4 linked regions of the Rhinolophus ferrumequinum genome follow. The protein of the gene in region 1 interacts with the protein of each later gene in a pairwise test. Links are inferred from orthologs where the notes say so. Each region holds a gene or a part of one and is shown in the gene's direction. Other genes may lie near its edges. The genes, in order: CCDC136, USP2, NDN and RAB33A.

What was found.
Region 2: the proteins of CCDC136 (region 1) and USP2 interact in binary tests that used the Homo sapiens proteins (3 or more experiments, as listed by UniProt). The two-hybrid records come from large-scale screens. The link is inferred for Rhinolophus ferrumequinum from reciprocal best matches to the Homo sapiens genes CCDC136 and USP2.
Region 3: the proteins of CCDC136 (region 1) and NDN interact in a two-hybrid assay, tested with the Homo sapiens proteins (2 studies listed by BioGRID). The link is inferred for Rhinolophus ferrumequinum from reciprocal best matches to the Homo sapiens genes CCDC136 and NDN.
Region 4: the proteins of CCDC136 (region 1) and RAB33A interact in binary tests that used the Homo sapiens proteins (3 or more experiments, as listed by UniProt). The two-hybrid records come from large-scale screens. The link is inferred for Rhinolophus ferrumequinum from reciprocal best matches to the Homo sapiens genes CCDC136 and RAB33A.

Annotation. Positions count from the first base shown.
Region 1 is NC_046309.1:17,344,713-17,352,038, reverse strand, and holds the start of CCDC136 (coiled-coil domain-containing protein 136), read left to right. Parts: upstream 1-4,379; coding exon 4,380-4,431; intron 4,432-4,915; exon of another isoform or gene 4,916-5,120; coding exon of another isoform or gene 5,121-5,178; coding exon 5,179-5,286; intron 5,287-6,879; coding exon 6,880-7,134; intron 7,135-7,222; coding exon 7,223-7,297; intron 7,298-7,326. UniProt on the Homo sapiens protein: May play a role in acrosome formation in spermatogenesis and in fertilization.
Region 2 is NC_046294.1:88,611,566-88,618,997, reverse strand, and holds the start of USP2 (ubiquitin carboxyl-terminal hydrolase 2), read left to right. Parts: upstream 1-4,430; 5' UTR 4,431-4,605; exon of another isoform or gene 4,606-4,647; intron 4,648-6,678; exon of another isoform or gene 6,679-6,774; intron 6,775-7,432. UniProt on the Homo sapiens protein: Hydrolase that deubiquitinates polyubiquitinated target proteins such as MDM2, MDM4 and CCND1. Isoform 1 and isoform 4 possess both ubiquitin-specific peptidase and isopeptidase activities.
Region 3 is NC_046311.1:14,636,311-14,642,845, reverse strand, and holds NDN (necdin), read left to right. Parts: upstream 1-4,337; 5' UTR 4,338-4,464; coding exon 4,465-5,442; 3' UTR 5,443-6,020; downstream 6,021-6,535. UniProt on the Homo sapiens protein: Growth suppressor that facilitates the entry of the cell into cell cycle arrest.
Region 4 is NC_046284.1:25,857,604-25,865,434, reverse strand, and holds the start of RAB33A (ras-related protein Rab-33A), read left to right. Parts: upstream 1-4,811; 5' UTR 4,812-5,053; coding exon 5,054-5,323; intron 5,324-7,831.

The DNA of each region.
Region 1 (7,326 bases):
AGTCAACCCTGAGAGACTGAAGTGCCAAGTCTGAACAAAGCTTGTACTGCATCTGGATTGATATTTTTTGCATGGTGCTGCTCCTCGAGCAGAGAAATTAAATATAATCCTGGTTTAGGACCCTTGAAATCCCTAGGAAAATATCACACAGCCCCCACAGAAGCAAAGAAGTGTTCTGTAAGAATGTTTTCATAACCAAGGGTATATGCGATTCTCACTAAAAAACAGAAACACAAACGAAAACACCTGCTGAAGAAGAGCTCACAATGAAATATTATAAACTAGACAAGGAAGCAATCCACCGTAAGGAGGAGTCAGCAGATACAGCAAACAGGAGACTTAACACTCCAAAAACTGTGCATAATAGAACAATGTGAAAAACAAGTATATAAGAATACTTAAAAGCATTAAAGACTAAAGATAAGAAAATATACCATAATAAAAATATTGTATGATGAAAAAAGCAGTTTATTGGAGGGCTATAAAACATTAAGAAATGAAAAACATACCATTGAAATTAAAGACTCAGTGATCCATTAAACAGTAGACTAGACCCAACTGGAAAGAGAATTAGTGACTTGGAAGACAGCGGTAATAAAAATCATTCAAAACGGGGGTGGTGAGGGGAAAGTGATGAAATAGAAAATATGAAAGAATAATTTAAAAACATGAGAGAAAGAATAATGTGTATATATATATGTGTGTGTGTGTGTGTGTGTATTTTGCCTTTCATACCATTATATATATATATAAAATAGGAGTTCCTGAAGAATGGGGGAACATAATATTCTAACAGATAATGGTTGAGGATTTTCCAAAATGGAAGAAAGACAGAGTCCTCAGGTTGAAGAGTCCTGAGTTTATAAATACATTGTGGTGAAACTGTAGACTACTGAAGAGGAAGAGAAAACTCTTAAAAGCAACCAGAAAAAAAAGAAAAAGTCATCATTGCCTACAAAGTTAACAATTATATTGGAAGCGGACTTCGTATTAGCCACAAAATTTTATACAAAAAAATAAAACATTTTCAAAAGACCAAGAAAAAAACTGTCAACCACAAATTCTATGCCCACTAAATTTCCATTTAAATGGCGTGACATAAGGACAGATTAACACAAAGACTGAGACTGTTTACCACTCAAACAGTTTCACTGAAATGCCACCGAAGGATATACTTCATAAGAAGGAAGGCGTGGACTCCAAGAACAATGGTGAAAAGAGAAATTTATAAATGTGTTAGTGAATCTAAACAAGCATCGAAAGCCACTGTAAGTAGAGTGTAAATTGGTCCAGCTTCCTGATACAGCAATTTGGCAATAACTAGTACAGTTTACCTAGCAATGTTAAACACATATTCTATGACCAAAAAATGCTATTTCTAGGTATCCACCTTAGAGAAGTGCTTACATATATGCCAAAGAGGCATGCATATCACTGTCTGTGGCAGCATTGTTTATAATACAGAAAACTGGAAACATTGTAAATGCCCATCAGCAGAAGAATGGATAAATAAATTGTGGTATATTCAAACAATGAAATAGTATTCCGTAGTTAAAATTCACAAATTGGAGGAGCTACATGAAACAACATGGATACATGAAAAAAAAAAAAAAAAAGTTGAGAAAAAAGAAAGTTTACATAAAAATGTATACGAAAGAACACCATTTAGATAGGTTTTTAAGCACACAAATCAATCTTCCGTATTGCTTGTGGATGCGTACATATGGAGCAAAACTGTAAAACCATAAATCGAAAGGCTATCTCTGAACCAGATGTGGCAAAACATGAACAGTTGTTGGATTTCAGCAGTGTGTGCATGGGTATTTGTTATGTTATTCTCTGTCCTGTACTTTTCTGCATGTTTAAAAGCTCCACATTTTCTTTCTTTTTAATGAAGGGATCTAGGCAGTTAGAAATAAGGGTAAATGGGGATAAATGGCCACATCAATCCTCAGAGAGGATGATCTGTGGGAAGGGATTAGGAGGGAGGCTGAGTCCTGAGTCCAGGGATTTTGAGGATTAGTGCACATCATCCCCCTAAGCTGATTACCTGGCTGGCATTCCAACCACTTCCGCCCCTTCTGAGCTGCAGCCCAGGGCCCCAGGCCACTTACCTACACCTGCTGTGCCCTTTCCTCCTGCCTCCTAACTTCACCCCACCCTCAACCCAGTGCTGGTCTGGCCAGGGATGGCCCAAATTTGGGTCTTGAGAATAGATTGGCTCAGGTCTCCCCTGAATACTTACCCAATGAAGGGTGAATAGTGACCTGCACCCCGGAAGCCAAGGAGAGATTAGTCTTAATGCCCAGGATCAGAGCTCCCCGAGGACAGGTTGGACCCCCGGACGTCACAGTTGACAATGTCCTCCCCTGCCCCTCCCTCCATCAGCCAAAAAGTTAGCAATCAAGGTCAACTGCTCACTGACCATACTGGCTGAGCCAGAACCACAGCTGTGCTGTGGCAGAACAAATAGCCACTGAGCTTCCAGCATTAGGCTCTATCAGTCCCCAGAGCTCTCTGCACCCCCACCCTCCCAATGCCAGCCTCTTTCCACCATCTCTGACAATTGCCCTGCTCACCAAGTCTAGACAAGCCTGATAGATGCAGCAGACCCTCTGGAACGGGTCTGAGTGGTCTTGTTCAACAGCCTTTCCCCATGACTGGGTCACCTTGACCACAGGACCGGGAGTGAAATCCTGTCATCTGGGGAGCAAATGAAACCTCCTTGACCTGTGCTCGTCATCTCTCAGAGCACACCAGGCTGGAGGTATGAGGGGGAGAAAAAAAGGAGAGGAGAAAGAGAGGGAGAGAGAGAGAGAGAGAGAGAGAGAGAGAGAGAGAGAGAGAGAGAGAGAGAGAGAGAGACTTATAGGGCAACATCATCATTATTAGGTAACATTTAACTCCCTAAGTGTGAAATCATGTTAAATGATAAGACACTATTAACTGCATAGTTGGGAGATTTACCTTTACTCATTTATTCTATGTGTCAGGTACTTTGCCAGATGCTAGAGATAAAAAGAAAAAAATGACTAAGATACTCCCCAACCTTCCAGAAAGTGGGCAAACAGAAGAGTAAACACCTGACCTTGACAACCCAGAGTGACTGGCACTGCCCTAGAGGGCAGGAGGGCAGGGTGGAGCGAGCAGGGGCATCTCACAGGGATGTCAGAGAAGGCTGCCCACAGGTGACCCCGATGAAGGGGTGAAGGATAAGTAGGGGATGCCCAGCCAAAGGAGGACTTCTTTCCTGAGTATTATGGGGGGCTTGTGAAGGTGGGAGATGGGGGGTGGACACAGATAATAGGTACCCATGACTTTGTGAGTAGGTATGCAAGAGAAGGAATTGGTGTGTGTCCCTGGCTTGGGAATCTCCTGGTACTTTTCTGCATCTGCTGGGATGCCCAGGTTCCCAAGTGTGTCACCACTTCTTTCCTGCAAAGATGTGAGAACAACTGCCTTGGGCTCCTGGTAGACATTCCTTGAGTGAATGACTGAATAAGTGAAACCAGCTCTCTGGGCTTCCACCTCTCCCTTTTGCCAGAGTGAAAATCAGCAGTACGCACTCTGAGACGGCTGCACCGGCAGGGTGGGTGGGGGTCGTGGCTTGCAGCCCACGGGGTGTAGGGCCAGTTGGGAAGGCCGAGTGGTGGAGTGAGGAGGTCTCCAGGCAGCCAAGGCTGCGTGGGGCCATGGAGCGGGCGCTCCTGAGGGTCCCTGGTTCTGGCTTGGTGGAGGCGTCAGGAAAGCAGAGAGATCAAGGACCCGCATTTCATGTATTCCGGCCTTGGCTTCCCTGGTCCATTTCTCATGCAGCTCTGGGGAGCGAGAGGCCACTGCGCCGCGCTGGGGCGGCGAAAGGGGGTCAGCGCTAACAACGGAGGTGGGGGCATGGGTCTTGAGTGATGTGAGCGTGTCTACGCGTTTGGAAGGAACAGGCCGGGAGCATTTGTCCATCTTTGACCTTTTCTTCCACCACTGAGAGGGACGGGGACCTGACAAATGGCGCAGACGGGTCCTCGTGCGCAGTCGACTCCAGGAAGGACCCATCACCAGAGCAAGGGATCTTGTGTCTACCTCTTGGGGAGACCTCAAGTCCCGACGAGCCTCGGCCCGCTCGCCCCACTCGCTCGGCGAGGCCACGAGCGTCCTGGGACGCGCTCCCTCACCCTTCCCGCTCCCGCCTGCCCGCACCCGGTCGCGCAGCGGAGCGGGCTTCCAGGCGGCGGCGGACCGCGGGCGGCGGCGGCGTCAGGTGGCCCGGCCAGGCCCCGCCCCCTCGGCCCGCCCCCCCAGCCCTGCGCGCCAGGCTCCGGGTCCCGGCCTCGCTGCTGCGGCGTCTGCTCCCGGCGGCGGCGGCGGCGGCAGCGCGAGAGGCCATGGAGGCGGGCGCCGAGGCCGGCGCGGGAGCCGAGGGCTGGAGCTGCCCAGGTCAGAGCCGCCCCTCCCTCACCTCTCCCCCGCCGCGCCTTCCTCTTCTCCATCTTTCCTCCCTGCAGACCCCCACGTCTTCCCTCCCTCCGCTGCGCCCACCTTCCCCTCCTAAATCTCCCTCCCTCCGTCCCGCCCCTCACCCGGGCCCGGTCTCCATCTTTCCCGCTGAGTCTTCCGCCACCGGCAGCATCCTCTCTGGCAGTTCTTTCCCTGAGCCCTCTCCATCACGTCTCTCCAGCCCAGGGGGCTCCAGCCCCTGCACCCCCGAAGGCTTCTTAGCGCAGGGCGAGGGTGGGGCGGGCGAGGTCCAGGGAGAGAATGGAGGGGAGGGGAGCGGCTCTGGCCCAGACCCCTTCCCACGGCGCCTCCTGCCCATCGCCACCTGCCTCCCCTTCCACGCACCACCTCACCCTTTCAGCCGCTTCTTTACTAGCTTCTGCCCTCTCTCCCATCCTTTCCCCTCTCCTCCTGTCCCCTCTAGGCTAAAGAGACACACGCCCCTTCCGTCTGTGCAAGGGAGAGGAGCCTTGAACGGAGGCTGCTGAGGAGGTTGGGCCGCGCAGGGCGGGGTCCCCGCAGGCCCAGCGCGAGGGGCGGCTGAAGGAGCAGAGTCGCGGTGCTGGGCGGAGTGAGCCGAGCACGTCCACCAGGATTGAAACCCTCAGGGCTCCAAAGGGCTAGAAGGCATGCCAGCCCCCAGCCGCCCCTGGCATCCCACAATCCCTCCTCTCTCCCTGCTCACAGGACCCACAGTAACCACTCTGGGCTCCTACGAGGTATCCGAGGGCTGTGAGAGGAAGAAAGGCCAACGCTGGGGGTCCTTGGAGAGGCGGGGGATGCAAGCTATGGAGGGTGAGTTTTCCCAGAAAGCTTTCTTTCTCTCCCCCTCTTCCCTCCTCCCTCTGATCCCCAGAACTCTGGGCCCTTTCCCCAGTTCACCTGAGGCCCCTCCACCCCTCCTCAGGGTTGAGGATTTGAGGGAGGTGCCCAGCGCCTCCCTTTGGGGCCTTAATCACAAGCTAACCAGGTTGTGTCCTGGGGAAGCTGCCAGACAGAGAAAGGCCTGGTTGGACAGAGCTTTGAAGCAGCCTTTCTGCAGGGGGTTTGTTCTCACTGCCTCTCGACCCAGATCCCAACCTGTCTCTTCTTTTGAAAAGCAGAGAAGTGAGCATGTGAATTGTCTTCCTGGTGTCACCACCACTAACTTTATATGCAAGCCTTGTGCCTTTGGTGCTCTAGGGTCGCATACTGCCTGAGAGAGATTGCCTGGGAGGGGGACAGGTGAGAAGGCCAACCTCCCAACACTCCTGTGACCCCACCACACCCATGCACCTTGGTAGTTGTTGCCAACACCAGGCCCCTAAAAGGATGCTGGTCCGTTTTTCCATGACTTCCTGTGAAGTGTCCTCAGACCCCTGTGCACCCTCAGTGTGGGCAACCCTGTTCCCCCAAAGGGAACAGAAAATGCAAGGGGTCCCAGATGAACCTTAGGCTGCTGTTATCGGAGAAAGTAAGACCAGGGATTCAGAATTTTAAAACAAAGCCAACAATCACCACCCAGACAAGATTTTTGCTATTTGGAGGAACTGCATTGCAGCAAAGGAGGGGGTGCTTGCCAACCAGAGGCTGGGGACCAGCACACCCCAGTTTCTTAATGCATTAAAATGGCACACAAGTACCTCAGACTTTACGCACAAGTACCTCAGACTTCCGCCCTGAAAACTACTCTGTACATTGATCAGCCGCGGGAAAGGCCTCATAACACTCAGGGAGGGGAGAGGAAACCCGCGCCCCCCCCCCCCCACACACACACACTCAGCAGGGAAAAGGAAGGTGGGCCTTGTGGAAAATTTCAAAAAGGCTATTCGATAGAGCACATTTAAAAGGGCCCCCGTTTGTCCAGTAAAACATTGAGACTCGCTTCATTTAGCTGTTTTCTTTGTTTGCCTACTGACAGGCAATGCGATCTTATTACGGAAAGGCTAATTTCTCACAAGCTACCTGGACAGTTTTTGAACTCTCTACAAAGACCCCGACTGTAACTCTTGCCCCATTTGGCCTAAAGACACGTCCAGTGTCTGAATCTTTTCTTGACTACTTGTCCCACGCCCCAGAGACCAGGACTGGAAGGAGTGGGTATTCTTATGCAAACTTCACATGGCTGAGCCAGCACTGAGCTGCTCAGTTTCCCCAAAGGCAGTAATAGGAGGCCACCAGGTGCAGCACTGGTCCAGAAAGGGCCTGGGCGGGGGAATGGGCTACCTCCAAATATGACCCTCACACCTGAGGACTCAGGAGTGCAGGTCCTCCCCAGGGGCTCTTTGGGGGACACCAGGTGGCACTAGTATGCCATCTCTGCCCGGGGACAGTGAGTTTGAGGGCCCTCGGAGGACTGTGGAAAGGAAGTTGGCTCTGACCCCCTGGCGGGATGGGTGTCTCTCCTAGGGGAAGTGTTACTCCCAGCTCTCTATGAGGAGGAAGAGGAGGAGGAGGAGGAGGAGGAAGAGGTGGAAGAAGAAGAAGATCAAGTTCAGAAAGGTGGCAGTGTAGGTTCCCTATCAGTTGGGAAGCACCGGGGCCTGAGCCTCACGGAGACAGAGCTGGAGGAGCTGAGGGCTCAGGTGCTGCAGCTGGTGACAGAGCTGGAGGAGACCCGGGAACTGGCAGGGCAGCATGAGGACGACTCCCTGGAGCTGCAGGGTGAGTGTCCATGCTGGGGCCTGAGGGCTGCGCCCAAATGCTCTATGCTCACCATCCCAGGCCTGATGCTGGCCCTCTCTCCATGCAGGGCTCTTGGAGGATGAACGGCTGGCCAGCGCCCAGCAGGCAGAAGTGTTCACCAAGCAGATCCAGCAACTCCAAGGTAAATCCCAGCCTTCAAGCTGGAGAGGC
Region 2 (7,432 bases), on another chromosome or scaffold:
AATTCAGGGCTCTTGCATCACGACAATGCACCAGCTCACGCGACACTGTTTTGTCTGTGAGGGCGTTTTTAGCCAGTAAATAAATGACTCTATTGGAACACCGTCCCTACTCACCTGATCTGGCCCCCAGTGACTTCTTTCTTTACCCGAAGATAAAGGAAATATTGAAAGGAAGACATTTTAATGACATTCAGGACCTCAAGGGTAATACGACAACAGCTTTTATGGCCTTTCCAGGAAAAGAGTTCCAAAATTGCTTTGAAGGGTGGACTAGGTGCTGGTATTGGTGCATAGCTTCCCAAGGGGAGTACTTTGATGGTGACTGTAATGATATTCAATAATGAGGTATGCAGTATTTTGTAGGATGAGTTCGCAAACCTAATTGTCAGGCCTCGTACACTATGTTTTTCCCCTATACCTACCTATGATAAAGTTAATTTATAAGTTAGGCACAGTAAGCGATCAACAAGTAATAATTATAACAATTGACTCTAATAAAAGTTATGTGAATGGCCATAGGGCCCATTATTAAGTAAAATAAGGGTTACTTGAATACAAGCTCCGTGGTACTGCGACAGTTGATCTGATAACTGAAATGGCTGCTAAGTGACTAACAAGCACATAGCGTATATAACGCGGATACATTGGACAAAGAAACGATTCACATTCGGGGCCGGATGGAGTGGGATGGCACGAGATTTCATCATACCACTCAGAACAGTGGGCAATGTAATACTTATGAATTATTTATTTCTGGAATTTTCCATTTAATATTTTCGGACCACGGTTGACCGTGGGTAACTGAAACCACAGAAAGTGAAACTGCAGATAAAGTGGACTACTGTGTAACAATCACTGTGCTATAAGCTACACTAGCAATAAAGAGGATAAAGGAACACTAGAGGAAAAGGAGAATGAGAAGGAGCTGTCAAGAGGAATACCAGAAAAGCACTGTATTATAAAACCTAAAGGAGGAAAGAACTTTAAAGAGGAAATAGTTGGAGGAGGGCAATTAACTGATTATAACTAAAAAGGCCTCCTGGAGTTAGCAAGTAGGAGATCACAATGACTGGGTAAGAAGAGTTTCCTGATGTCTGAGAGGTAGAAGGTATGAGGATGCTGCACAGACAGGGAGGTGGGGAAACACAGCCTGCACAACTCTTGCAAGAGAACTGTGAAGAGGAAAGAGCAAGAACCGAAGCTATAGATTTTTATTTTGCAAAGAGGAAGAATTTGGAGACTATTATATGTCAAAGGGAATGTCAGTAGAAAATGAAAGTTTTAAAGCTACAAGACTGAACCTGTGACAGACAGTGACTGTGAACATGAGAACAAATGCTGAAGAGAGACAGTTCAATACATGATTTCTAATGGCCCTTGAGGATGCCTGACAACCCTACTATATTTCCACAATCCATTCTCTCTCCCATTTGCCAGCACAGTGGTTCTCAAAGGGCTGTTCCCAGGCCAGCTGTTCCACCATCACTTGGAAACTTGTTAGAAATGCAAGTTCTGAGGCCTACTCCAGATCTCCAGAATCTGAAATTCTGGGTGGGGCCTTAACAGACTCTGTAGGTAATTCTGATACCCAATCAAGTTTGAGAACCACTACCCTAGGTGGCTGGTTTACAACTCCTCCTCTCTCTCTAAATTTCCAACACTTCCTCCTTTATCCTTGATTCACTCTCAGCTAACCTTGCTTCCTAACTCACTGAGAGAAAAGAGACCACCAGGAGAGAATCTCCACTAGCTTCTACCACATCCATTCACCTCCCTGCAAATATTTTGCCTTCTCTCTTCTTCCTTTGGATGAATTCTCTGTGCCCCTAACCAAGCCAGGCCCTCACTCTGTACTAGATCCCATCCCTTCCTACCTCATCAAGGACATTGCTCCAGCTACTCTCCTCTCTCTCCAGCATTATCAAATCTCACTCTCTATTGGCTCCTTCTCATCAGCTATACAAACATATAGCTATTTCTGCCATTTAAGAAATATTTTTGACCTCATTTCTTTTAGCACCCACCCAATCTCTACTTCCTTTACCACAAAACTCTAGAATTCTCTACACAGTACTGTATCAATCCTTCTCCTCCCATTCTATCTGGAACCCACCCACAATCGAGATTTCACTCCCACACACACCAAAACTATTCTTGTCAAAGTCACCAACAACCTTCTAAATCAATTCTCAGACTCTTCTTATTTTACCTACATGCAGCATTTGACAAAATTTCTATTTCTTTCTTCCTTGGTAAGTTTCCTTTTCTTGGTTTCCAGCATATCACCATCTCCTAGATTTGTTTTTTCCCTATGTCACTGGCCATTCCTAAGTTTCTTTGCTGGTTCCTACTCATTTCTAAAGTCATTTAATGTTGAAGAACTCCAGGATTCAGTCCTTGCACATCTTTCTATTTATACTTGCTCCCTTGGTGATCTCTTCTAAGCTCATGGTCTTAAATAACATCCATATGCTGATGACTCTCAATTTTATATCTCTGACCCAGACTTAGCCAAACTTGTACATCCAACCGCTTTCTTGACATCTTGATGTGCCTGATAGACATCTCAAACTTAATATGTATTAAACCAAGCTCGTGACCTCCCACCACCCCAAAACCTGCTCCTTCCACAGCCTACACCTTCTCAACGTTTAGGCGAAAAATCCCTCCCTTTCTCTCACAGTAGACCTTGTTGGCAGGATATTCAAAATACATTCAGAATCCAACCACTACTCACCACCTCTCACTACACTAACCCAAGCCACTATCAGCTCTCATGGATGATTGCAGGAACCTCCTAAATGGTCTCCTGCTTCTTCTCTGCCTCTCTTCAGATCTGTTCTCCATTCAGCAGCTAAAAGGATTCTGTTAAAAAAAAAAAAAAAAAGTCAGATCCATGTCCCTCCTCTGCTCAAAATCAACGGCTCCCATCTCAGAGTAAAAGCCAAACTCATCAAATTGGCCTTAGAGCCAATTTGAAGTCCCTCCCTTTTTTCTTTGACCCCATCTCCACTCTCTCGCTCTCTCTTTAATCCAGCAACACTGACCTGGTTCTTCCACAAAAGTGGCAAATATGCTCCCACCTCAGGACCTTTGCATTTACTGTTCCCTCTGCCTAGAGCATCATCCCCCAAGATATCAAGATGGCTCATTCCTTCACCTCCTTCAGGTCACTGAAATGTCACCTTCTCATTGAGGCCATCTCTGACCATACTTTACACACTCCATATCCCCCTTCCTGATTTATTTGCCTCCATAGCTATTACTGTCATCTAACATACTATATATCCTACTTATTTGATTATTGTCCTTCTGCCTCTACTAGAATGTAAGCCACTTGAAGGCAAGGATTTTGCCTGTTTTGTTCAATGTTGTATCCCCAAAACCTAGAAGAGCACCTGGCTCGTTCAATAGCCATATGTGGAATGTGACCAGATAAGGGCCCTAAGGAAACAAAGGGTTGAGACCCAGAAGGGATTTGTCTTGAACAAGAAGAGACACACCACATTTTACCTTAAGTAGAGGTAAGAATGGATTCATATATGTTTGTAGGCAGAAATTTAAGTATTTGTCTCCTGATTGCCTATAATTTCTCTGCAAAATAGAAAACACGGAAGGACTTAAGGAGAATAGTAATGGACAGAAATAATAGCAGTGGAGAATGGGAGAAGGAGCTAAGCAGGAGCCAAGGCCTGAGCTCTCCTACAGATAGAGTAGAACCACTCCGAAGCAGCTGGACTTTCTCCTGGAGTGGGGGTGGTGCGCGTTGTACTGGCTTTATTTTTCTAGGATTGATGATCCAGGTGAAATTGAAAACCTGGATTTGCCTTGACACCAATCTACCTGGCTGTGTGTTTTTATTCACCTTCATGGGTAAAGGAGGGAAAGTTTACAAATAAAGAATGGGAATGTCAAAAATTCAAGTTCTGTCTCAGCTTTTTCTTAAAAGACCAAAGAGAATCCCTTCCACTGACTCAGTGCCTCCGTTTGTTTACCCACTGAAGAAGTCATCCCGATCGATGGTCTCCTGTTAGTAAAATGAGGAGTGTCTTTAAGAGTAGAGAAAAAGAAGAGGCTAAAGAGTAGGCTTTCTCCCGGCCCCTCCCTAAAAACTGAAAATTGATATATATGCCAGGTGGCTCAAATTCTGGGCCTTCTCCCCACAACTTTCCCAGTACCTTCCAGCTGCCCCCTGGTGTGACATTCCATTCCACTTCTTTTTGTGCTCATCCCCCTCAAAACTCGCAAGCTTTTCCTCCACGTGGTTCTCCATTTATCTTGCCAGGGAGACCCCTATGAGGGCGGGGCTCTAATGACGCCATAATGGGAACAAGCCAATAGCCGTGACGCTTCTCAGTGACGCAAACGTGGGGTGCGGTTTTGCCTGCCCGGGCGCAATGAGGCGGCTGCCCGCTGGGTGGCACCGATTTCCCGGGGAGGTCCTTTCTGGGCCCCCGGCGGAGGTGGAGGAGAGGCCAGCAAGAGCCAAGGCCAGGGAGCCCTCAGCGTCAGCTGCTCACTGCGCCGCGCCAGTACCAGCCGGGACTCACCCGCAGCTCCATGCTTGTGCCCGGCTCGACTCGTCCATCGTGTGAGAAGAAGCAGGTACATGCCACTTGTCGGAGGCTGGGGAGGAAGGATGCAGAGGTCAGTGCCGTTTGAGACTCAGAAAGTGAGGTGTCAACGACAGCCTAGGCAGAATGGCTACTAGAAATGTAGGGCGAGTGCCAGCTACTGGGAGGAGCTCCAGCTGCGGGTGCCAGTTGTGGGGGGGGGGTGTCGCGGGGGGGGGGGGGAACCTGCCAACTGACAGCCCAGGGTGCCAGGAAGAGCCATCTGTGTGCTGGTCAGTGTGTTCTAAGGAAATGCTGCTTCGGCAGGTCCAGGTCTCTGCCGTGAGGTATGTGGCCTGAGAGTGCCTCCTGGACAATGACAGTCCCTTCCTCAGGTGTGCATGCAGTTCACATACTCCCTGGTGGGGAGGGCTGCCGCTGCTCAGTTTGCCAAAGGAGGTGGGGGAGGGAGAGGGCAACAGTTAAGTAGAAAGGGAAGATTTTCCACCAAATCCAAACCAGAAAGAGGCATCTTTGAAAAATCTCAACAATCCCAAACCAGATGCAGGTGCCGTGCTCCAAGGCAAATAACTTTAGCCAAGCCAAGTCATGGCCATCCCATTCTAGCTGTTCTCTGAGGAGAGAACATCGACTTCCCGACCTGGCTGCTTCTAGAATGGGACTAAGTTGGAGACTGTAGTGATGCTCACCTCCCCAAGCAAGGGTATGAGAAGGTTCCCCAAGTTGGACCCTATAAAGTGGAGGAAAGGAAAGCTGGTTAGGCTGGGGCTTGGGGCATCCCCTACTCCTTTGATGCTGTAGATGCATGCCAACCTGGAATCATCATGAGGACTGGAATGAGGGCCGGGGACAAGGGCATCCTCTGAAGTGCATCATCAGGACCCAAGCTGAGTCAGTAGTCTCTGCTGAAACAGGGTGGAGGCACCGCCTGGGGACTCCCAGTCCGCAGAGAGCACCATCGAGAAACAGACTGGGAGCCAACAAGAGCACCAAAGCCCAAGAGGTTAAGAATCCAGCTCCTTCCTCCTATGACCCTGACCAGCCCAGTTCTGTGGCCTTGGAATCCTGAGCACTCCTACAGGTAGAGTGGAGCCACCCCAGAGCAGCTGGGCTTTCTCCTGGTAGCCTGGGAGAAGCCGCATTTGCTATATTTTTCCAGGCAAAGGGGAAAGGAGCCCAAATGGGCTTGGCCCTTCTTGGCTGAGTGGGGTGGACAGCTGGGAATATAGCAAACCTCATTTGCCCTTGCCAGTTATGGGACATGGACAAGCTCAGAAAAGCCTGGGGCTGTTCTCTGTCATTGGAACAGGGCACTCGGAGGGGTAATGCCCCACATCCTCTGAACCAGAGGTTTTCTCTCTGGTTTACTTGGGAGATGCTACTACAAATACTACCACTAAGTATGATAAGTGGAAGTATTCAGTATAATTATCATTTATTGTACTCCTAGTATGCGCGAGGAAATTTACAAATATTATTTTATCTAATACAACTGAGGTGTAGCATTATTATTGACTATTACTCCAGTTTTAAAGATTATATAACTAAGATTCAGACAGCTTAAGTGATTTGCCCACTGTTTCAGAGTCAATAAAAGAGAAAGAACTGGAATACAAGCCCAGGCCTAGAAGTCTATTATAAAAGAGTTTGGACTGAAAACCTGAGAGCTTGTCCCTCCTGCCTCCCACTGTCTGTGCGCCCTTGAGCAAGCTGCTGGCCATCTCAAGGTCTTCTGCATCTCAAAACTGAAGGAACTGGATTAGCACTGTGGCCTCTTCCTCTTCTCTAATTCTGTGACTGACACCTCCTTCTCCATATTTTTGCCTCAATTCCAGCCCCATCCCTCTGCCCTCTTTCCAGTTGTTTCCCCTTGAATCCCTCTTTTGTTCCATGTCAGAATGACCCCCTTCAAAGAGTCCTCTTGGATTTCCTTGCCTGGCATGCTGGCCCATCAGGGCAGACCCTCGAGAGAGGGCCTGTCACTGCCCCTTTAATTCTCCCCGGGTTTGGAATGCAAGTGAGTTGAGCTAGCCATCCCTCTGAGGTCAGATAAGATACTATATATATATCAGAGTCAGTAACCTGAGCTCCAGATTACCCAGCCCAGAGTCAGACTCCAGTCTCCCAGCTCTCTACTGCGCTCCTGGCCCTGCTGGGGAAGGAGAAGCCCCCAGATCCTGTCCATTGCCCCCGGACACAGGTCAGTAGCTGCCCCTTCAGTATCTGAGCTCTGCAGATCCGCTGAACAGATTGTCTACTGGGGGAACATTTAAGAGGTCGCCCCACTGGGCTTGGTGGGTGCTGTGGGCAAGACCAAAGGCTAGAGGCTGACGACAAAGCCACTCTCCCCTGGGGAGGGGACACCAGGAGAGTGCCTGGACAGAGGTGGCTAGAAAAGGGTATTTAAGGATTCCAGTACTGCTTGAGGCTGGGGGGAGGGGCATTTCATTGTCTTTTCTTGGAAGTTTAGGATGCCTACCCCCTCCCAACCCCAAATCAGGAAGTGCCCAATAGGGACACTATCCTAGGCCCACCCACTTTTTTTCCACCAATCAGAATTCTTGTTCTAATCTTTAATCTCTTTATTTTATCTCTTCTGCCCCTCTCCCAGCCCTTGGGCAACTAGTGGGAGTCAAGAGACAGAAATGGACCCAAATTTCCTTGGATGACCCCCTGCCAAGGCATGCAAGACAATCAGGCACTAAACTGGTGGGTTACTGGGTGCCAGCCCCTGAGAGACAGAGCTGCTAGTGACAGGCTGGAGGGGAGGGGACAGGTTGAGGCTCCTGGGGGCCTGAGAGAATTAGACAGAGCTCCTGGATTATGTGAGCACAAATATCCCCGTTCCCCTTCTCCAT
Region 3 (6,535 bases), on another chromosome or scaffold:
TATCTTTTTGGATATGTCTCCTTAGATAAGGGAAACAAAAGAAAAAATAAACATATGAGACTATATCAAACTAAAAAGTGATGGAAACCATCAATAAAACAAAAAGACAACCTACTGATTGGGAGAAGATATTCACAAATGATATATCTGATAAGGGGTTGATATCTAAAATATATTAAGGAACTCATACAACTCAATAACAAAAAATAAACATCCAATCAAAAAATGGGCAGAATACCTGAATAGACATTTCTCCAAAGAGGACATACAGATGGCCAACAGACATGTGAAAGGATACTCAATTTCACTAATCATCAGGGAAATGTAAATCAAAACTACCATGAGATGTCACCTCACACCTGTCAGAATGGCTATTATTGAAAAGTCAACAAACAAGTGTTGGTGAGGATGTGGAGAAAAGGGAACCTTTGTGCACTATTGATGGGAATGTAAATTGGTGCAGCCACGATGGAAAACAGTATGGAGGTTCCTCAAAAATCTGAAAATAGAACTACCATATGACCCAGCAATTCCACTTCTGGGCATTTATCCAAAGAAAATGAAAACACTAATTTGTAAACATATCTGCACCACTATGTTCACTGCAGCATTACTTACAATAGCCAAGACGTGGAAGCAGCTTAGGTGTCCATTGATAGATAAATGGAGAAAGAAGATGAGATGTGTGTGTGTGTGTGTGTGTGTGTGTACACACGTGCACACACGTGTGTGTAATGAAAAATTATTCAGCAATAAAAAAGCATGAAATCCTGCTATTTGCGAGAACATGGATGGACCTAGAGTGTATTATGTAAGTGAAAGAAGTCAGTTAGAGACAGACAAAAATCACATGATTTTACTTATATATGGAAGTTTAAAAAATCAAAGCAAACGAACAAACAAAACAAAACTAGACTCACAAAAACAAAAAATAAACTGATGGGGGTGGGTGGGTGATAGGATTTGTCACAAAGGTGAAGGGAAATATCGTCAATAACAGTGTGATATAGTCAATATTGTCAATAACGGTGACAGATGGGTACGAGACTTAGAGTGGTGATCATATTGTAACGTATATAAATGTCAAATCACTATGTTGTACACCTGAAACTAATCTAAAATTGTATGCCAACTATACTTTAATGTAAAAAACAACGGATAAAGACAGCACAAAAAGAGATCACTACAGACCAATATCCCAGAAGAACACACACACAAGAATCCTCAACAAAATACCAGCAGATTGAATCAGCAATATGTAAAAAGAATTACGCAACACAAACTTGAACGCAGGTCTGTTTATTTGACAGGATTTATCATCAAGAAGAAATGTCCCAGAAACAGATACAGTGAGGAAATCCTATATGTCTGGAAAGAGGCCTGTTGGTTCAGCTCTGTCTTTCTTCCTTCTCACTTGTTATTTTCAATGATTCTCAACAAGAAAAGGTACGGCCCATAAAAGGGCTTTTGGCACTGTAGGGGGAGGGCATCTTTTTTCTCTTCTTACACTTTCTGTTCTGTCCATGTCAGAAAGACGTTTACATGTGTGTTTACGGGGACCAAGGTGTCAATCTCTGTGGTGTGTGTTACATTTTCACACAATGAAAAATTACCCCACCCTCGCACCACGAGCGGTCCCCTTGAAGAATTCTGCTCTAGATGCTCTCAGGGTGACATTATTTACCGTCTTACCTCCCAAACCTCACTTTTCAGCCCAGGCCTCTTTCCTGAGACCTATATATCCAGATATCTGCAGGGCGTGTCCACTCTCTTCTCCGAGTAGTCTCAGGAAACAGTGCCTCCATATCCTAGCCGCGTGGCACTGGTCGATCCCGGCCACCCCGAGACAGAGTCTGGTCGTCCCCGGCACTCAGTCTCCCCTCGCATCTCCTTATTATCTATATCTTCTCTGCCATCCCTGCTCGACACTGGTTCCCTTTATTCTCTGCTCTGCCTCAATATCATGGCTCCTTCGTGGTACGCATCACACCATGATTATTTAATTACTCATTTGTTTCTTTGCTCGGGGCCCTCCCCCTCCACCATTTCCCCTCACGATACACTGCAGAGACCAGGTCTCTTCTCGTTCTATACTCAGGCACAATGCCCGAAATGTAGGGTGTAGTAAATAGTTGCACCCTCCTTTCCAAGTGGAGTCCCGTGGAAGGTCTCCAAGGCGGTCTCTCTACCTCTCCTTCTCCACCTGCCCCCAGCCTCCATCCAGGCTTCACTCTGATTCCAGTTGACCTTTCTGAAGACACCGACCCTGTCCGTGCCTGAGTGTCAGTCCCTGTGGGTCCCTGTGGGTCTGGGCGGGACGAGAAGCTCTCACATTTCAGTGAGTGTCCTTGGGCCTCAGTTGGACAGGCATGCAGTGTCACTCTAGGGACACTGGAGTGGCTGAGGGGCCAGGCTCGAGTCCCCTCCCTTCACCTCCCAACTGTAAAAAACAGCCCTGCCTGGTCTCACATCTTATTCTTTTCTAAGAAAAAGTGGCCAGGCTGCAAACAGTCCCGATGGGTTGTTTTCCACCCCCCGAGAACGAGCTACTTTTCTAAAATGAAACTCTCAGGCACATAACAGACGTTGCTCAATAATTGCTGAGCACGTTCATGCGAGTTATCTTCCTCAGTCCTTCAGCCTGCATGTGGGGCCCGTGCGGGACTCAAGGTTGAGTGTGCTGCCTGTGTGGACAGGATGGGGCCAGAAAGAGTCACATTTCACGCGGGGCCTCTGGGCCTCTGTGCTGTGAGCATGCGTGCTCTCCCCCGGAGGCTCCAGGGTGACCCCCCTTCCTCTGTTCACTATGGAAACCAGTGGCAGGACAGGCCTCTCCTCCCGTTCCCCGAGTCTGCCAAGAACAGCCTATCCCACAGCTGTGTAATCGGTTCCACATTATAGAGTTTGAAGGAAGCCACCAGCAAAACTGTCTGCACCAGAAGATTTTAAGTGGTAACTTCTCCATAGACTTCCTGCATCCATGAAACTAGATTTACAGAATCTAGATTTTAAAGGCAGCCCTTCACGAGTTTGCTTGGGGAGCTTTTTTGTAAACTTTGAGCATTTGCTTCTAAGATGCTGGCGGGGAAGGACTCATTGCCCTTATCAAATAGGGCCAACCTGGGGAAACCCAGCAAGCCTGATGAATCCTCAGAATTCTCAGGGCAACACTGGATCTCATCCCCAATCCTTGACCTTGAATTAAAGGAGTTGTAGAAGCCTCATGAGTACTGGCTTCCTCTTCTTCCCCTCCCGTGGTGTCATCTGTCCCCTTCCTTATGGTCACGAAAGTCTGCATCTCTGGCTTATGGGTAGGCACCTTCTTAGGAAGCCATCAAGCTACTGACCCCTCCCGTGACACACGTGCCAGTGCATTTTCTCTACTTAAAGGTGGTCCCAAGCTTTACATATTTCCACGTCCCTTTACAGGAACTTTCTTGTTGGTGGGCAATGGAGCCTCTTCAGCAGACCTCATCCTCGTCATCTGAAGAGGCGTCCAGTTGGGCTGCAAGCGTGAGCATCGCTAAGGGTCTACCCTGTACTTGATTCCAAACTTGGGATTCGGTTCCAATACTCTAAACCCTCCGAGCACAAACTACACACCCTGACACAGTCCTAGCCGGCCCTCCTGCCAGCCGTGAGCTGTGACGGAGCTGTGGTAGACACGAGGCTCCACTGTTGGCCAGGGGCAGCCTCACCAGAATGAGGCGCAGTCCAGCTCCGGCAGCAACTGAATCCCAGGAGGCTGCTGTCTGGCCTGAGCTCTGAGAGCTCCCGAGCAGGACATCTTAAACGGTTGTAATTGTCGTGCTTTTATGAACATTTTCATAAGTGCTTCTATACATGTTACATACCCAAGGTGCCAAAAACATGTATACACATGACTTGTATTCATCTTTCGTTATCAGCCTATATTGAGTACTACAATTTTAATACAGTGCTTTTCCTTTCTTAATATGTGTGTGTATATATATTTGTCAGGAAACCCACCTTTACACAACAGCCGACGCCTTTCTCTGGGGCGCTTGTATCTAATCTGCTTCTGGATGTACCTTGTTAAACGTTTTCTAAGAAACTCAACCTCAGCATCTCAGAAGTTAAGTTCTCATCTTTCTGCTTCAGTTTGCTCCTTCTCCAGTGCTCACCCTTCTCCGTCCCCAGACGTGCTTGGCGCCCACAGGCCACCCGGGGGTCACTGCTGCCCTTATCCCAGCTGCCCTCACCCTCTCAGGGGGCTCGGGGGACACCCGCCCCGTCGGGCTCCCCGCCCCACCCCCGGCAGCCGGGCCCGCGGTGGCGGACGCGCAGGCGCAGTGGCCGCCCGCCGCCGCCCCGCCCCTCCTGGCCTCTGCGGAAGGCGCCGCGCGCAGCAACGCGCACTTCCTCTCCAGGAGTCCGCGGAGGGAGCGCAAGCTCGAAGAGCTCCTGGACGCAGAGGCCCTGCCCTGGTCACACAGAGCCGACATGTCGGAACAAAGTAAGGATGAGTGCGACCCCGGCTTTGCAGCCCAGGCCGCCACCTGCGAGGTGCACGGCGGCAGCGGGGTTCCCGGGGGGCCCTCGGCGCCCGCGTCTCAGGCCGCGACCCTCGCAGGGCCGGACAGCCCCGCCGCAGGCCCGAGCGACGCCCCTGTCGCCTCGCCGCCGCCCCAGGCCCCGAGCGACGAGGCCGACCCGAAGGCCCTGCAGCAGGCCGCGGAGGAAGGCCGCGCCCAGCAGGCCCCGAGCGCGGCCCAGCCCGGCCCCGCGCCGCCCGCCCCGGCCCAGCTGGTGCAGAAGGCGCACGAGCTCATGTGGTACGTGCTGGTGAAGGACCAGAAGAGGATGATCATCTGGTTCCCAGACATGGTGAAAGATGTCATCGGCAGCTACAAGAAGTGGTGCCGCAGCATCCTGAGGCGCACCAGCCTCATCCTCGCCCGAGTGTTCGGGCTGCACCTGAGGCTGAGCAGCCTGCACACCATGGAGTTCTCGCTGGTCAAAGCGCTCGAGCCCGAGGAGCTGGACAGGGTGGCGCTGAGCAACCGCATGCCCATGACAGGCCTCCTGCTCATGATCCTGAGCCTCATCTATGTGAAGGGCCGCGGCGCCCGGGAGAGCGCGGTCTGGAACGTGCTGCGCATCCTCGGGCTGCGGCCCTGGAAGAAGCACTCCACCTTTGGCGACGTGAGGAAGCTCATCACCGAGGAGTTCGTGCAGCAGAACTACCTGAAGTACCAGCGCGTACCCCACGTGGAGCCACCTGAATACGAGTTCTTCTGGGGCGCCCGCGCCAGCCGGGAGATCACCAAGATGCAAATCATGGAGTTTCTGGCCAGGGTCTTTAAGAAAGACCCCCAGGCCTGGCCTTCCCGATACAGAGAGGCTCTGGAGGAGGCCAGGGCGCTGCGGGAGGCCGAGCCCACTGCCCACTGCCCCCGCAGCAGTGTCTCCGAGGACTAGCAAGGTCTGGAGGCAGATTCCTGGTGTCTGACCCTCACCAGGGTGGCGGGGCGGGGGTGGGTGGGCGGTAGCGTATTCAGGATTTCCAGTGCAGTATTTCACGTGTAACTTTTAAGTTTTCAGTACAGTGCTTTTATACCTTTTAATGCAATGTTGTATTCATTTCAGTACTATTAGGTAGTGGGTAGGACTTCTGCATGTTTGTTTATAAGTAAGCTCGGTCGGTGCTTTCGCTTTTGTGCTACCTTTCTTGAATTTTTGTACCAGAGATGTGCTAAACTTATGAAATACATTGAGAAGTTTTCCATCTTATTCTTTTCTATGGAACGGATGATGTGTGTCTCGGGTAGACTGCCCCGGGGAGGCAGGAAGAACTCCCCAGTAAAGCTGGCCTGACCAAGAGAAAAGTCAAGGTCCCCTCAGTTAATGACCTCGCGGGGCACAGGAAACACCCGTGCGGAGTGCGCCGGTGTGGTCTCACATGGTCTCAATGTGGGCACTTGGCACAGTTTACTAAACACAAGTACAACCCCACCATGAGTAAACTTGCAACATTAAAGATTCTTGTGATACAATCATTTTTGGAAAAGTGTACTTTATCTCTTTCACAATGTAAGTTGGGAGTGAGACGTTTTTCAAAATGTACAAATACCATAACTTTTTCGTCTACTAAGGTGGGACAGTCACGACTCATCGTTACTCCTAAAAGTGTGAACGCTACAGTTTTATTGTTTAAATGTAACTCACAGGTTCACGTCAAAACTTCGACAACTACAGAAAAGTAGAAAAACAAGAAAAAGAAAGCAAACATGCTCATAATCACACCACGTAAAAACCACTGTTAACGTCCTCTCTTGAATTTTGTACATTTTATTAAAATTAATAGCTGTGTTTTGTGGGCACTTAAAGAGGGAGGCATTGTACTAAACCCTTCCCGTGCATTTGCTCCTTTGATTGAATCCTCACGACGGCCTTATGAGACAGGCTTTCATTACATCTGCCCCGAGCAAAGTCGGGAACTAACTTTCCCTGGATCCGAAAGCTTAGTAAGAGGAGGAGCTGGGATTTGAACCCAGACAGAGTGGGTCCAGAG
Region 4 (7,831 bases), on another chromosome or scaffold:
TTGCTTGTTAGTTTTCACGGGTTGGTGGCAGTATGTTCGGCTCAGCGACTTTGAAAAGCTGTCCAAGGAGGGACCCGTGGGGCTGATTTGCCTGGCTGTTTGTGGCGAGTGCTGCCGCTGTGTCGATGTTGGGAACTGATATTAATAGCACCTCAAAAAGCGTGGCCTCAGCACCAAATTTTGTTTTTCTGTTTTAGGCCACTAGCTACTACTAAGTACTAAGCCTTCCGGATTCTCTCTCTAGCTGTAGTCCACTTCCAGTCTTTCCATAGATTTGAGCCGGGGCTCCTGGCTTTCCAGATTCGGATTGGACTTCCGTCTTTTACAAATTGCCTTCCCATCCAACCCCTATTCTGGGCACTTTACCACTATTCTGGGGCATGTCTTCATTCCGCGCTCTCTTTTCCCATACCGCTTTTATATTGTGTAATTCTGAGTCCTAAGTGCTGTATCAGATGCTGTGGATAGTCTCTTGCTATTTTATTATGACTTCGTTTTTTGAGAGCAGGTGCTGGCAAAAAGCGTTCGTGCTTCACAGACTTTCTGCGAGAGAAAGCCTAAGCAGGACTTTCAGAGTTGTGGGAGGAGTAGGGTGCGGGGCTGAGTGTAAATAGGGGTTTTGGCTATCAAATATAAGCTAAATTGGAAATAAATTTTGGCTGTATGCAAAACATAACATATGCCTTTTTCAAAGTTTTGGTTTACATACTCACTTAACAAGTATTTATTGAGCACTTGCCATTTGGACTATATGAAAAGAGCTCTAGGGGATACGAAAAATATAGGAAGTGGTCACTGTCCAGGTGGGGAGATGACATACACTGGTCATTTTAAATAATAATATCTGATGTAGTGCAAGAGCAAGAAAAAAGAATATGAGATGAAATAGCTAAGGAAGGACTTCAAGCAAGAAGTATTACTTGAGCCTGTCTTGAAGGATGAGTAGTGAAATTCAAATAATGGAGGAGGAGAAATGATATTTCAGATGGTGAATACATTGGGACCGAAGGTAATATTTTTAGTGATTAAACACCATTGATTTTGGATCCAGTCTGCCCCAGGTTGAATCCTGGCTCTGCCACTTGGACAAGTCACTTAACGGTGTCTCACTTTCCTCATCTACCAATCTCACAGGGTTGATAAGAAAATTAAATGAGCTAATATTCATAAATAAAGCATCTTAGAGGAAGCACCATGCTGTTTAAATCAAAAGGCTTGGAAGTATAAAAGAAACAAAACCCAGCTCATTTTCAGGAGACAATGGCAGAGAGTACATACTAGGAAGTAAATGAGGACAGGTTAATATGGTGGAGCCAGATTTGAACTAGCCAAAGTGTTTGGCCGCAATCGTGTAGGTGATGACATTATTTTTGGCTTTCAGTAGAATAGGGATAGAGAACGAAATTACTAAGGCATTTCAGGAAGTTTAACCCAGAAAGCAGTCTTTACTCGGTGAAAATGATCCAGGGATCCCTTGCTCATTAAGAGTAATGTTCAGAAGTGCAGGCAGTGGGCAACTTTTCCCCTAGGGCTGCATTGGGGAATAAATATTGAAAATGTCAATTCCACAATAAGGTAAAAAAAATATTTATATTTAGTATTTTAAAAGTTTCACAGATGTTGATATTTCTTGCTATTTCTAAAAGCCAATAATAAACATGGATTGATTAAATAAAAAGTTAATCATATCTGTTGGTGGATGAGGCTTTGGAAAACACTGTCAAAATTATGATGATAAGGTACCTATGAAAACAACTGGGTAAATTTGAAAGACAGTCAATTGTGCATTTAATGATGCACAATTAACAAAGAAAAGGCATTGTACAGCACTTTTAACTTATTTTTGCAATAGGTGCAATGAGGTAGATTTCTTGTCCTTTTAATTAAAAATTATATTTCATCTTTTTTTGTAAAAGCAATATACACACATCAAAAACTAACTCCAAAAATATAAGTGGAAGTTCCCCAAAATCTCATCCCACAGAGGTAACAAACACTTTTTATTAGGAAATGGGGCCCACTTTGAGATATCAAGTCTCCAGAAATTAGTGTTTCTATCTTACAAATATAATGTGAACTCTCAGACTCAGTGATGAGTTTTTTGCTGGAAGCATATGCGGTCTGACAATTAAGTTCGCGAACTCATCCTAGAAAAAGTGCTACATACCTCATTGCTGAATATCACTATGGTCACCTTCGAAGTACTCCCCGTGGGAAGCTATGCACCCGACACCAGCGTCTAGTCCACCCTTCAAAGCAATTTTGGAACTCATTTTCTAGAATGGCCATCAGAGCTGTCCTCGTATTACCCTTGATGTCCTGAATGTCATCAAAATGTCTTCCTTTCCATATTTCCTTTATCTTTGGGTAAAAAAAGTAGTCATTGGGGGCCAGATCAGGTAAGTAGAGAGGGTGTTCCAATACAGTGATTTGTTTACTAGCTAAAAACTCCCTCATAGACAGTGTGCTGTGAGCTGGTGCATTGTGGTGATGTAAGAGCCTTGAGTTGTTGGCGAAAAGTTCAGGTTGTCTAACTTTTTCACGCAGCCTTTTCAGCACTTCCCGATAGTAAACTTGGTTAACTGTCCAGCTGGTACAAATTCATAATGTATTCATAAATAAAATAAAAAAATGTTAGCAACATCGTTGCAATAAGTTCACAAACTTAATTGTAAACCTAGTACATCTAAATAATCTTATGTGAATATAGTTTTTTTATATTAGAAAGTTAGCATTAAGTCTGGCTATAAATTGGCAAAGCTTCTTTCCGCTCTACCTGTTGGATATGCCTAATTCATAGTTACCTGCCCCCCTTTTAATAGCTGCTCTTCTGTAGATAATGATTACCAGGAGCATTAGCTTCAAATACAGACGACAATGATGCTGCAAACTATTATCTAGACATCAACCAATCATAAAAAACAAAAATACTGTACAATGGTGATTGCCATTCCCACTGTATAATGATAATTGGTATTCATAATGATGACCTTGGATTATCCAACTAAGATTAAATCCTTCTTGAGATGGTTTTAATATTGAATAGCATGATCTAGGGTTTTAGAAATGGGTAACCCACATATATGCTAAAAGAGTTAGCTATAAATATATCTGCTAACTCAACTAAAAAGCTTACCCTGTTTCCCCGAAAATAAGACTTAGTCAGACAATCAGCTCTAATGCGTCCTTTGGAGCAAAAATTAAAATAGGTCTTATGTTAATTTTTGCTCCAAAAGACACATTAGAGCTGATTGTCCGAGTAGGTCTTATTTTCGGGGAAACACTGTATAACTAGAAGACCCCATTTCCCCAGCCATTCTGAGTAACTTGGACTGGGCTGAGCAGTCATATTCCACTTTGTTTACAGACCTATCACTGATGCACTGAATTGTTTTTCTCACAGTGGGAATGGATTTAGTTATGTTTGTCTCTTCTGCAGCTGAGCCCCACACAAGTAAGATGGCAGCTCATGTGTCTTGCTGGAGTCCCTGACCTTGATGACATTAGCAAATAACTCATGTCAGTGCTACTGGCATATGTTAATATTACCTTAGCCTATGAAATATGTGGAAGGATGGTTCAAGTCTTAAAGCAAACACGAAAGTGGTGCACTTTATTGTGTGGAAATTGTACCTCAGTCAAGTTATTTTAAAGAAATTGTGAACCTGCAAATCACATTTGGGAAAGGGAATACTGGTCTTGACCAAGATGTGTGATGCTTAATAAGCTTGGGGAAGCTGCTCCCCACTACCAGAAGAAAGTTCTGTTCATTTATCATTTTCCAAGCATAATTTAGGCTTTTAACAAATTAGACCCAACCACTTTGTTCTACATTCAGTTGCAGAGGGGTGAACCCTCCTAGGGGTTTCCAATTCCTTTTGAAACTCCACCATTCTGGAAGGACTTATGATTACATGGAGGGCTCTGGAATGCAAGACGCTGTGAGATTTATGCCTTGTCCCAAGAGCCCTCCACCTGGGCTTGGAATGGTTAGCCCCAGAAACAAAGTCCCCTTTTGCTGGAGCTGCCACCACTAGCTTCCCCGCTTCTCCTACCCCCTGTATGGCTCCCTCCGGTGGCCGGCCTTCCCCATTGGCCAGTCAAACACAACTGACTGCCGCAGCCAATGGGAGCCGCTCTTCTGAACATTCAGAAGATGGGTGTTCCTGGTGTGATGAGGGAAGGTTGGCGCCTGGCACGCACCCCCCCACACACACATCTGGCAAGTCTGTGAGAGAAACAGTAACTCCCCCTACACATGCACACCGGTGCCCTGCAGCGTGTATTGGCGGCGCCCTCCCTGGCTCCTCGCGCGCGCGAGTGCACCTGCTTCCTCAATAAAACAGAGCATCCCTTTATCCCAAGGCTTGGGAGGAAGCTGCAGAGGCTCAGCTCAGCTGCCTGCAGCTCTGGAGGTGTCTCCTCCCCGCACCCAGTCCCCGCCGAGTAAAGTGGTGTTGCTCCGAGGCTGAAATGCTCCAGAGCGGACCCCCGTGCGCTCCGAGAAAATGGGGGTGGGGAGCCTGAGATCTATAAAATAAATGGGGTCATGGAGAAAGGAGGACCATCCCGGGGTGGTGTGTGCCGCTCTCCCCACCCTCCTTTCCTCTGTAAGCTTCCTCTTTGTGGTGTGTCCCTGGGGTCCAGACAGGGGAGGGTCTAGGCCAAGGCGCCACGGCAGCTGCAGCGGTGGAGGCGGGGTCGCACGCCCCACCCGCCCCTCCGAGGGCAAGGCTGAAGGAGAGGGCTCGTGCCTTGCAGTCTCTCTTCCATCTCTCCTCCCCTGACTGGCTTTTGTGTTGGTGCCTCCGAGCTGCGAGGAGGGTGCACTGGAGGAGGAGGAGGAGGAGGAAGAGGAGGAGGGGGACCTGGGGTGAAAGGCACCCCACGCGCGCGCGCGCGCACGGGGACGGCGCACGCACACACGCGCGGACACACTCACGGACACGCACACACACGCACAAAGCTCGCTCGCCTGGAGCGCACTAACGTGGCCGTTTTCTTTGTGTGGAGCCCACCAGGAGGGTTGGGGCCCCGGTCCGGTCCCTGGGAGATGGCGCAGCCCATCCTGGGCCATGGGAGCCTGCAGCCCACCTCGGCAGCTAGCCTGGCATCCCTGGAGCTTGACTCGTCGCTGGACCAGTACGTGCAGATTCGCATCTTCAAAATCATCGTTATTGGTGACTCCAACGTGGGCAAGACCTGCCTGACCTTCCGCTTCTGTGGGGGGACCTTCCCGGACAAGACTGAGGCCACCATCGGTGTGGACTTCAGGGAGAAGACCGTAGAAATCGAGGGCGAGAAGATCAAGGTGATCCAGACGGTCAGGTCCGGGAAGGGAGGGCTCTGGGAGGGGTCCTCGCCTGACGCATGCTCTAGTGGTTGTGAACGGTCTGGTCAGGTTCGTGGCTGCGTCGCTGCTTGCTGAGCCCTAGACCCTCAGCACCTCCTCATCCTCTTTCGCCTTTCTCAGCGGCCTGGTTCCCACCTTGCCCGTTTTTTTTTAGGGCAGGCCGGAGAGGGTGCATTCATGCCCTCTGTCCCTGCCTGACAGCTCCTGCCAGGAAAAGCATGTGAGATCCCATCCTTGACCCTGAGCCAGGAGCAGCGGCACCTGTGGGCAGAGGGAGGTATGAGGTAACCTGGTCCTGCTCTGTGGGGTGGATCCCAAAGCACTTTACACATCTTGAGGTCTCTTCTTCCTCTTGGGTGCCAATAGGGTGCAAAAACCCACTTTGGTTAAGCCCTGAGACATTACAGGGGAGGAAAGAATGGAAATCCACAGAGAATTACAGTTTATGGCTAAGATTATGGCTGAGCTGGAATAGGGGTGGAGTGGGGTGGTTCTGGCACAAAGTCATGAGCCCTTTTAAAGAAATTGAGACAGGGTCACCTGCCAGCCCTCCATAATAGACAAAACTTATTCTTTTGGAACAGTCCCCCTCAAATGATATCTTCTTTATTTGTCTGGGGTACCTAATGCCATTATTCATTCTATTGGTATTGTCTTCAGCAGGCCTTTGTAAAAATGCAGAGCAACTTCTCTGAGGGCCAAGGGAAGTAAGTGTCTTGCTCCTACCCTCTCGTTAGTTTGTGAGATCAGCTAAGTACAGATATTCTTGTCTGACCATTTGTACTCACTTTCAGTTCATCAACAGTGCAAACTCGATAGGACCAGGATATTTCAATGTGCAGAGGCTAGCGGGAGGGGGGACATGACAAGGGCAGCTTAATGTGTCAGGGGAACAGAGAGAGGCAGGGTTATGGGCAGGAAAGTCACTTCAAAAGACAGGGCACTAAAGACCAACTCCACTAGACCCACAACAGGCCTTTTCTTGAGCCTATGGTCAGACCCTGTCCTGCAAAGGTAAACCTCCCTCCTGCTGGTCAAACAGCTCAAATGACCACAGGCGTGAGGTGGAGAGAAGGGCTGAGTAACTGGGGAGAATGTGGAACATTGTAAACTGTACAGACTCCTTGATTATTAAAATGAACATGTTTTAAAATGGCTTCAGAAACCTGGCCAAGGCACTAGATATGTCAGGAAGATGGGCATTGCAGTACTGGTAAGGGAAAGTTCTCGAGAACAACGAAACCCCAGGGTCAGGAATATAGGACACTGTTTTGAAATAGTGATATTTCTTGCCTCTTACATTTTGGGGGGAATTCCTACATTTTCTTTTTAAAGTCAAAGTAAGTATCTGTCTTTTCTCCTTTCCCAGGGTTTTATGTTGACATTTCCTTGGTTAGAACTTTCTCTAGGGTGTCTAGCTTCTTTACGTAAAGTTGTAAGATTCTGGAATTTCTAAAGCATCCAAAGTAGAAATATACTTACGGCTGTGCTCTTAAGCACTCAAGACCCTTAAAATTTAATGCTATTGCCTGTTTAAAATCAAGTTTCACATTGAGCCAAACAGCTCTCTGGATTTAAGAGGGGAAATGAGTCCACCTGAAATGTACAGGGAGGAAAAAGGAAGTGTTTGGGAGTCTGGGGGAGAAGGAAGCTAGAAACTGGACAATGGGAGGTGAAAAACGAGTGGAAGAGGGTCATCACCCAGTGACCTCAGGGGAATTTTTAAAAGGTTCCTTCCCTTCCAACAGCCCAGTACCTAGCCAAACTGGATTTTGTAGTCTCTGCCAAAGATTCTGGACTTTTTCCCAGGGGGCAGTGCCTGTGACAGTGTGACTCACTAGAAACGGAGCTCAGCAGGACACCACGTGCAGAGAAGTGCTCAATACAGGTTTTTCAGAGGAAGGTGATATTTTCAACTTGGTGATATGAAGGAGCCCTCTGAGAGCAGATTCTGAAGGAGCTCAGGGTGGGATGTGGGTGTGGGGAGATGGGGACCCTGCCGCTTGTAAAGCTGCTGCAACTTCAGGGCCAAAGCCAGCAGGCAGGCCCAGCATGTCTGTGGGAAGATGGCAGAACATAGCAGCAAGCGCATGATCTAAGAAGATTTGGTCCCATACTCTGATGGCCTGGTGTTTCTCAAGGAACAAGTACCAAAACCATGCTAGGAGGTGACTGCCAAAGGCTTCTCCCTTTGGGGAAGAGAGAAAAGTCCAGTCTGACAGGCTGAGGTGGCCCTAGACCACAGCCAGCAATGAAAGGCTGTCAGGCTATAAAATGCCAGTCCTCGCAGGAAAATGGAGAGGGCTCAGTGAGCTCTTCTCTCAGTTCAAGAGTAGGGTGTGGCGTCTCCTGGGCTGCCTCCCTGTGCCCCAGAGTAGCACTATGTCAACCCCTACAGGGGGATGACTGATTTAGCATATTTGGGGCTACTCTCTTAATTACCAGTGCCATCCCTAGGGGTTTGAAACCCCATTAGGT